Linked DNA regions of Xenopus tropicalis. The protein of the gene in region 2 binds, or shares a complex with, the protein of the main gene of each other region. Links are inferred from orthologs where the notes say so. Each region holds a gene or a part of one and is shown on either strand. Other genes may lie near its edges. The genes, in order: insr and grb14.

Region 1 (3,826 bases), on a different chromosome or scaffold from region 2:
ATATTGCAGGTTTTATTATGACTGATTTATTATGACTACTGAAATCTGACAAATATGTTTTACCTCTAATACCTCTAAGAGCAAAAGCATACTAAGAGAAAACTAATTAGCAATGTATGCATACAAATAAAATACATAAGAGCTACAGCATAACAAAAGAAATAAGTATAAACACAAGCAAACCGTCCCTAAACATAAAAAATATTTTTACTTACGGTGGTCTGGCACTTGGAAGTAGGCTGGTTCTGTCCATGATCCATTGCCTGCCAGGGAGGTTGCACGGATCTTTACACTGTAATTCCCTGGGGTTAATACCCTGAGTTTTGCCCCTTTGTCTGTGCTATACTGCTTCTGTGACACGCAGCTAATCACTTCCTGCAATGGGGAATGCAGAAAGAAAGCACAGTTTGACTACTGTTGTGGGATACTCCAAGAAAATAAATCATTCTACAAAAATATTCAAATCTGAAGAGGCCCTGAAATCTTACCTCTGTGCCCCCAACTCGGGAGTAATGCACCTCATACAAAACTATTAGCCCATTTGGATCTTTTGGTTCTTGCCATTTTAAATGGATTATATTAGGTTCAATATACTCATAGGTGATGGGTCCCACAACATTGTCGGCAGTGGCTATAAAAAAAGAAAACAAAAACATATCTATGAGAGTTCTGACACATTTCTATCCATTTACATAGGAAATAAGCAGGGGTTATCTAGCTAAGGGCTCTGGAACACGAGGGAGATTAGTCGCCCGCGACAAATCTCCCTTGTTGCGGGCGACTAATCTCCCCGATATGACATACCACCGGCAAAGATGTAAATCGCTGGTGGGATGATGTACGCAGCGCCGCGATTTGCGAAAATCGCCAAAGTTGCCTTAAGAGGCAACTTCGATGATCACGCCGCCACATATGCCATCCCACCGGTGATTTACATGTCATGTCATATCATATATTATATATATTATATCATCATATATTAGTCACCCGCAACAAGGGAGATTTGTCGCGGGCGATTAATCTCCCTCATGTGCCAGAGCCCTATGTGCATAACAGATAATCTCACAACGGCATAGCAAACTGGACAAGAAAGGATTCCAGTGAATGGCATTCCAACAAGAACAGGTACCCACTGGAATAGGTGATTTTCAACTCTTTAATAAAGATTTCAACTTCTAACAGCACAGATATGCAAACATGTAAGATGGTGGCTTACCTATACACGTTATTTAATATACATTGTATAATGCACCCGGAAGTTTGATAAATGTATACAAACCTTAATTACAAGGTTTATGCAGTTTCAGAGACTGAAACAAAGATAAAATTGTGAACTGAGCACCAAAAAGGCTTACCCTCTGGCATTGTCCTTGCACTAACATATGCTGCCACGCTACATCCCATGGAGAGTTCGTGGTTGCAGGCATGAATCTCAATGCGGTAACCAGTAAAATGCTTTAAGCCAGTGACCATTAGAGACTCCTTAAACCAAACTTTCTGTGAATATATCTTTGGCTCTGTTTCATCCGGAGCACGGGTGGAGGAGGCATTGAAGAGAGAAGGGGCTGTCACTGGGTCTGGCAGAGTTCCATTGGCTACTCCAAATAGTTCACGCCGTTTTCGAACAGGTCTGCAAAACACATGGTTTTCTGACTTACAAATGCATAGAAAAGAGGGAGCTAGACACATAAAGAAATTAGTCTTGGTTTCTCATACATTACTTATCTGCCTTGAATTGTACCCTACTGGTACAGAGGCTGATAAGGCTCTTTCTTAAAGAGTATTATTTTAGGGCAGGAAATAATCCCCTAAACTCCACCCCTGCTAGGAATTATGGACTCTAGATCATTATGTAGAGTTGTTTGAAAAAGTCAAACTTGATAGAAAAAAACTGGTGGAAAAAAGGCAGATGGGACCGAAACCTGTCACACGTGTGGACATTGACATGATCTTTCTAATACCTGCCCTGTGTGCACAGAATTAGAGACAAATTCCCATCCTGTCAATATGCACACATATATAGCATTTTAGGCCCCATCTGCTTTTCTTTACCGGTGTTTTTTTGCCAGCTGAGAGAAAGCATAGTATGCCACAGGCCTTGTAACTATTTCCCTTTCTTGGTGGCTCTTATCTCTTATAAGTTTTTCTCACCTAGGTATAAAAACTTCATTATGTAGATAATTTTCAAATGTTTTTCTGAATGCTGATTCATCCTGTTCTTTCTGGATTTGGAAATCAGTTTTGGGACAGGGACAGCACTTGGATGAAGGTTGGTCTGTCTGATTTATATTTCCATTTTCCTCAATATCCGAGGGAGGAGTCCAAGTTCTGGAAGGCAACTTAAGACCTACAGGAAAAGAGATAAGGGAATTAGCCTCTTAGGCATTTTATGCATGGAATGTGTAAAAAGAATCTTAGTGCAAGGGCACATGGGGCAGATTGTCAACCTGCACATGCAGCTCATATCCACCAACAAACGCCAAGTCTCGAGTTTGATGGTGGATATCAGCTGCGTGTGCCCGCACCAATTCAATGATTTTGGTGCAGGCACAACTGGAAGATTATTTAAGCATAAGGGTGGACTGTAAGCCTGCACTTATCGGCACCCTTGCCCTGGCCCTTAACCCCACTCCTGCAGACTTGTGCTCAGCTGGCAGATCTGCATAACAATTATCAGTGTTTGTACTTGAAAGCCATTTTTACTAAACATCTATATAGTTCTGATTATTAGAACTTCTGTTAATGTAGGTCTGAAGCATCCTCATTAGAATACATACTTCCACTATATGCTGTTCACACTATTACTAAAGGTAAGTAGATGATAGCACATTTGTGCAAACTGTTTACCTTTATTGCAGTAATCCAGCTCATAAAGTTCACTGTCTTCAGGTTGTTCTTGCCAGTACACAAGGTAGTGAGTGACATTTCCATTGGGCTCAGAAGGTGGTTTCCATTTTAGAATAATCTGAGAGGTTGAGTTGGACACAGAGAAAGGATCCAGAGGAACAGAGGGGACTGTGTAATAAATATAATAAGTTATGACAGATATACCAATACCTTGCATTTTATATTTCTGCCTCATATAAAATTAGTTAAAAGTTTCTTAAAATACTTACTGGTTTCATTGGTACGAATATAGATAATTTTGCTTTTTGCACCATAAGTTCTTCCTTCATCTGATCCGGATACCAGTGTTTTAACAAACACTGCATACTGAGTCCATGGTTTCAGGTTACGGAGCAAACATCCCGGAGATAGAGTCTTGCCATCAGCACTTCGTTCTGGGGCATCCATATCTACCACTGTCCAACTATTGGAACCACAAGCATCCTGACCATCAAATTCTGTGACATTCTGGTAGGGTCTGGTATAAGGAAAGAAGCATTTTAGTGTGTAGGCTCTAAAACAGGCTTGAGAAACTTTTTCTTTTGATCTCACAAGTTATGTCTCTACAAATATGTTCCTTATGTTAATTTTTAATATCGGTGAATGTGAAATGTAATGTAAAAATCTTGTGAAAAAATCTGTATCTACAAACCAAAAATAGAACTCTATAAATGCAGTGCCAAACTTATTTTTATGTCCACAGAAAACATATTTGTGCAAATGTAATTGCTACTGAAAGCAGTATTTGGCTGTCTGTTTACTTTCTTTGCACTCCTGGCTCTGACCTCTGAAATAATATTGAAGGCCAACTTAATTAAAGGAGAAGGAAAGGCAGCATAACTGGGTGACATTTAATTTAACATTTGTCACCACCCACCAAAATTTGTAATTCATGTATATTGGAAAGATGCTTGGAATTATGTTTTCATTTTAAAGGTTA
Region 2 (3,826 bases):
GAGTGAGCTTCTATTATAATCAATGACAAGGGGAACGAGTGAGCTTCTATTATAATCAATGACAAGGGGAACGGGTGAGCCTCTATTATAATCAATGACAAGGGGAACGGGTGAGCTTCTATTATAATCAATGACAAGGGGAACGGCTGAGCCTCTATTATAATCAATGACAAGGGGAACGGGTGAGTTTCTATTATAATCAATGACAAGGGGAACGGGTGAGCTTCTATTATAATCAATGACAAGGGGAACGGGTGAGCTTCTATTATAATCAATGACAAGGGGAACGGTTGAGCTTCTATTATAATCAATGACAAGGGGAACGAGTGAGCTTCTATTATAATCAATGACAAGGGGAACAGGTGAGCTTCTATTATAATCAATGACAAGGGGAACGGTTGAGCTTCTATTATAATCAATGACAAGGGGAACGGTTGAGCTTCTATTATAATCAATGACAAGGGGAACGGTTGAGCTTCTATTATAATCAATGACAAGGGGAATAGGTGAGCTTCTATTATCATCAATGGGAAACAAGGGAAGTAACTAGGTTTGGGTGTTTTTCCACTTGCAGAGAAACCTACAGAAGTCCCATTAGTCTAAACCTGTCACCCTAAACAATAAAAGGGCAGCCGCAGTTTGTACTGTAAGTGAATTTAAACCCTGCAGGCTGAGCTCATCCTCATTCTTCGAAATCTACCTTTAGCCAGAGGGAGCTGAACTTTGTAGCTAATCAGAGACTGAACTGTTTGCATCAATGTATTTAAAATCAGAGTCAAATTTAATTTGCAAGAGAGAATCAGATCTAAAACTGATCTAAACACACAAGTATGAGTCAGAATAGGGACTTTATATGTGTGATATGTGGTTGAATTGGAAAAATTCACAAGATCCAAGAATCTATGAAGATTCTCATTCATCCAGGTCATGATATACAATATCTAGTAGAATTACGTCTAAACAACTGGAGTTTTTTCTTGAAAACGTTTCACCACTCATCCAAGTGGCTTCTTCAGTTCAACTGAGTGGTAGGGAATTCCCCAGCATTTAAAGGAACAGTAACACCAAAAAATGAAAGTGTATAAAAGTAACTAAAATATAATGTGCTGCTGCCCTGCACTGGTAAAAATTGTGTGTTTACTTCAGAAAGTCTACTATAATTTATATAAATAAGCTGCTATGTAGCCATGGAGGCAGCCATTGAAAGGAGAAAAGGCACAGGCACATAACAGATAACGTTTTCAAGAAAAAACTCGAAGTTGTTTAGACTTAATTCTACTAGATACAGTTCAGTCAGGCAATTCACAGATATATTTATCTTGCATTAAAATAAGAACTAATAGTAGTGTCTCCATTTTTTACTGAGGGCATCATTTACAGGAAAAGGTAATTTGGAAATAAACTACAGAAAAATGTTACCTTGAACAATCTAATTGCCGTCACCCAGCAGATTTTGCTCTCTTCATTGTCTGCACAAAACAATTTCAGCTCCTTGGAACCTCCTGTCTTGTTAGGCTAGAAGGCCACAGCACATTGTGATTAATGCATATCTTGAAGGCAATACCTGTTGAAATAAAAGCAACTAAAATTCTCCTATGTAAAACAGGAAAAACATCAATATACCCGGCCAGTTTCTGAACAAAGCCAGTTTTTAATAGCAAGGGTACCAATATAAAATAGCAGAAAATGTACCTTAAGGCAGAACCCATAGTCTGTTGGTGCTCCATAAAGCTTTCTCCCTGAGAGTAACATATAAGCTTCACTTTGGTGAAAATCAGTAAAAAACTGTAGATGACGCGGATCCTAAATCGAATACAAAATGAAATTCAAAATTCCATTGATATTTGAAACATACAAGATAGGGTTGTTTACTTTTATTTATACTGAAATGTATGTTACTGTCCTTTAGGCTGATGCCACACATGGCGTAGGGCTGATTTTTTCGGCAAGCGGAAAAACGCTTGCCAAAAATTCAGCCCTACGCCTGCTACTTGTGCCTGCACCCGAATGAATGGAATACGCTCGGGTGCAGGCACATGTAGCCGATATACCAGGGGTCTCAAACTCGCGGCCCGCGGGCCATTTGCGGCCCTTCGTACAATATTTTGTGGCCCGCACCAACGCCTTCTCAAAAGCAATGAATGGATCACGATTTTTATTGCGATTCAAGGGATAATGCAAGGCACGGCGGGCGGGAGCTGCTGATTGCGGAAATGACCTTATGCCATCATAACAGTTATTATAGGAAGACGTTCTGTGTGCACAATTAGCTGCTAAGGAGCTAATTGTGCACACAGAACGTCTTCCCATAATAACTGTTATGATGGCATAACGTCATTTCCGCAATCAGCAGCTCCCGCCCGCCGTGCCTTGCATTATCCCTTGAAAGCCAATTTTTTGTGAAATCCCTTATGCGGCCCAGCCTCATCCTGACTTTGCCTCCTGCGGCCCCCAGGTAAATTGAGTTTGAGCCCCCTGCGATATACGCATGAAAAAGTGAGACTATGCATTCTCACGTGTTTTCATGCGTATATCGGCTACATGTGCCTGCACCCGAGCGTATCTCATTCATTCGGGTGCAGGCACAAGTAGCAGGCGTAGGGCTGAATTTTCGGCTTGCTGAAAAAATCAGCCCTACGCCATGTGTGGCATCAGCCTTATTGGTTTACCTCCATTTAAAGGGGTACTAAACCCTGCTGTGCTGCACTGCTCAACCAAATTTTACTCAGCTGTTGCTGGACTACAAATCCCAGAATAATGTAACATATAATGAAGGTTGAGGCTGTAGTTCAGTAACATCAGGGTTTTATTCTTAAAGCAATATTGCACAATAAAGTTTTTACAAAACTTTCCCTGAAATCTCCAGGACCAGCGGCTGCATTAAAATGCAAGAAATCCTCCAATGAGAATCCCAGCTGATCTGTGTAAATCTGGCTCCATGTTCTCTGTTCAAAAATAAAAAATGATTGGTGAACTTTGTATAAAATACTTGCGAAAAAAAGCTTTAGTTCCTAGTTGTTGCTCTGTGCTGCAACCAAATACAATTGTAGAAATCCAAAAAATAGGAAAAAAGCTTCAGCAGGTTTACTGCAAAACATTTATTTATTCGGGTATTGACCCAAAACATGTCATGTTACCACTACCCACAATAAATGTTTTGCAGTAAACCTGCTGAAGCTTTTTTCCTATTTTTTGGATTTCCATGTTCTCTGTTCCAGCAATTGGAGTTGGGAGCATTAAGCACAGTTTCCCAGCACTGAACAAGTCTGTCCTTTATCCCCATGTCTGATTCCTTTGTCTTATAATGAAGGGAAAAAAATGACATAATTATCTCTATATGTAAGATACCAGCAAGATGCCTGGCACAGTGATGGGAATCCACATTCTCATTGGTCAATTATTTTACATTTATAATTAAGTTTTTGATCAGTAGAATTTACAACCCTAGATACTACCAATGCCAGTTTCTTTCACACTGGAAATGTCTGCATTCTGCCTCTTTCTAGAGGTATCTGTAGAACATAACTCCTTAGTAAAAATTATTTAAAAAAAAACGTTAACAAAATGTAAATGTATTTCGATGGGCATTATGAGAACAATGTAGGTTAGATTTTAGCACAGACTGGCAGTAAAACATGAACTTTATTTTCACTCTGTGCTTAGGGTATGAAGATTCCAGTGCTGGACTTTTCATTATTGATAATCAATCATAAACCTATAAAGAATTTAGAGACTTTTTGGGGATCGAGTAGTACAAGGGGACTGGTGCATGTACTGAATCTGATTGATGCATTATGTCTGTTATTTGTAGTTTGCATGCTGAAGC

What was found.
Region 1: the proteins of grb14 (region 2) and insr are in contact, whole or in part, in a crystal structure (PDB 2AUH), measured with the Homo sapiens proteins. The link is inferred for Xenopus tropicalis from reciprocal best matches to the Homo sapiens genes GRB14 and INSR. Residues at the interface, in NP_004481.2 of Homo sapiens: Glu373, Asn374, Ser375, Leu376, Val377, Ala378, Met379, Asp380, Phe381, Ser382, Ser386, Val388, Ile389, Glu394, Val398, Ala399, Glu401, Glu402, Gly403, Leu404, Trp406, Arg407; in NP_000199.2 of Homo sapiens: Leu1065, Arg1066, Ile1069, Glu1070, Lys1112, Arg1116, Arg1163, Met1180, Arg1182, Tyr1190, Lys1192, Gly1193, Gly1194, Lys1195, Gly1196, Leu1197, Leu1198, Pro1199, Val1200, Trp1202, Ser1207, Leu1208, Lys1209, Asp1210, Gly1211, Gln1235, Asn1242, Glu1243, Leu1246.

The regions. Positions count from the first base shown.
Region 1 is NC_030677.2:111,781,968-111,785,793, forward strand, and holds part of insr (insulin receptor), read right to left. Parts: intron 3,365-3,826; coding exon 3,117-3,364; intron 3,016-3,116; coding exon 2,848-3,015; intron 2,348-2,847; coding exon 2,152-2,347; intron 1,631-2,151; coding exon 1,356-1,630; intron 632-1,355; coding exon 489-631; intron 376-488; coding exon 216-375; intron 1-215. UniProt on the Homo sapiens protein: Receptor tyrosine kinase which mediates the pleiotropic actions of insulin.
Region 2 is NC_030685.2:70,838,334-70,842,159, reverse strand, and holds part of grb14 (growth factor receptor-bound protein 14), read right to left. Parts: intron 1,804-3,826; coding exon 1,693-1,803; intron 1,516-1,692; coding exon 1,420-1,515; intron 1-1,419. UniProt on the Homo sapiens protein: Adapter protein which modulates coupling of cell surface receptor kinases with specific signaling pathways. Binds to, and suppresses signals from, the activated insulin receptor (INSR). Potent inhibitor of insulin-stimulated MAPK3 phosphorylation.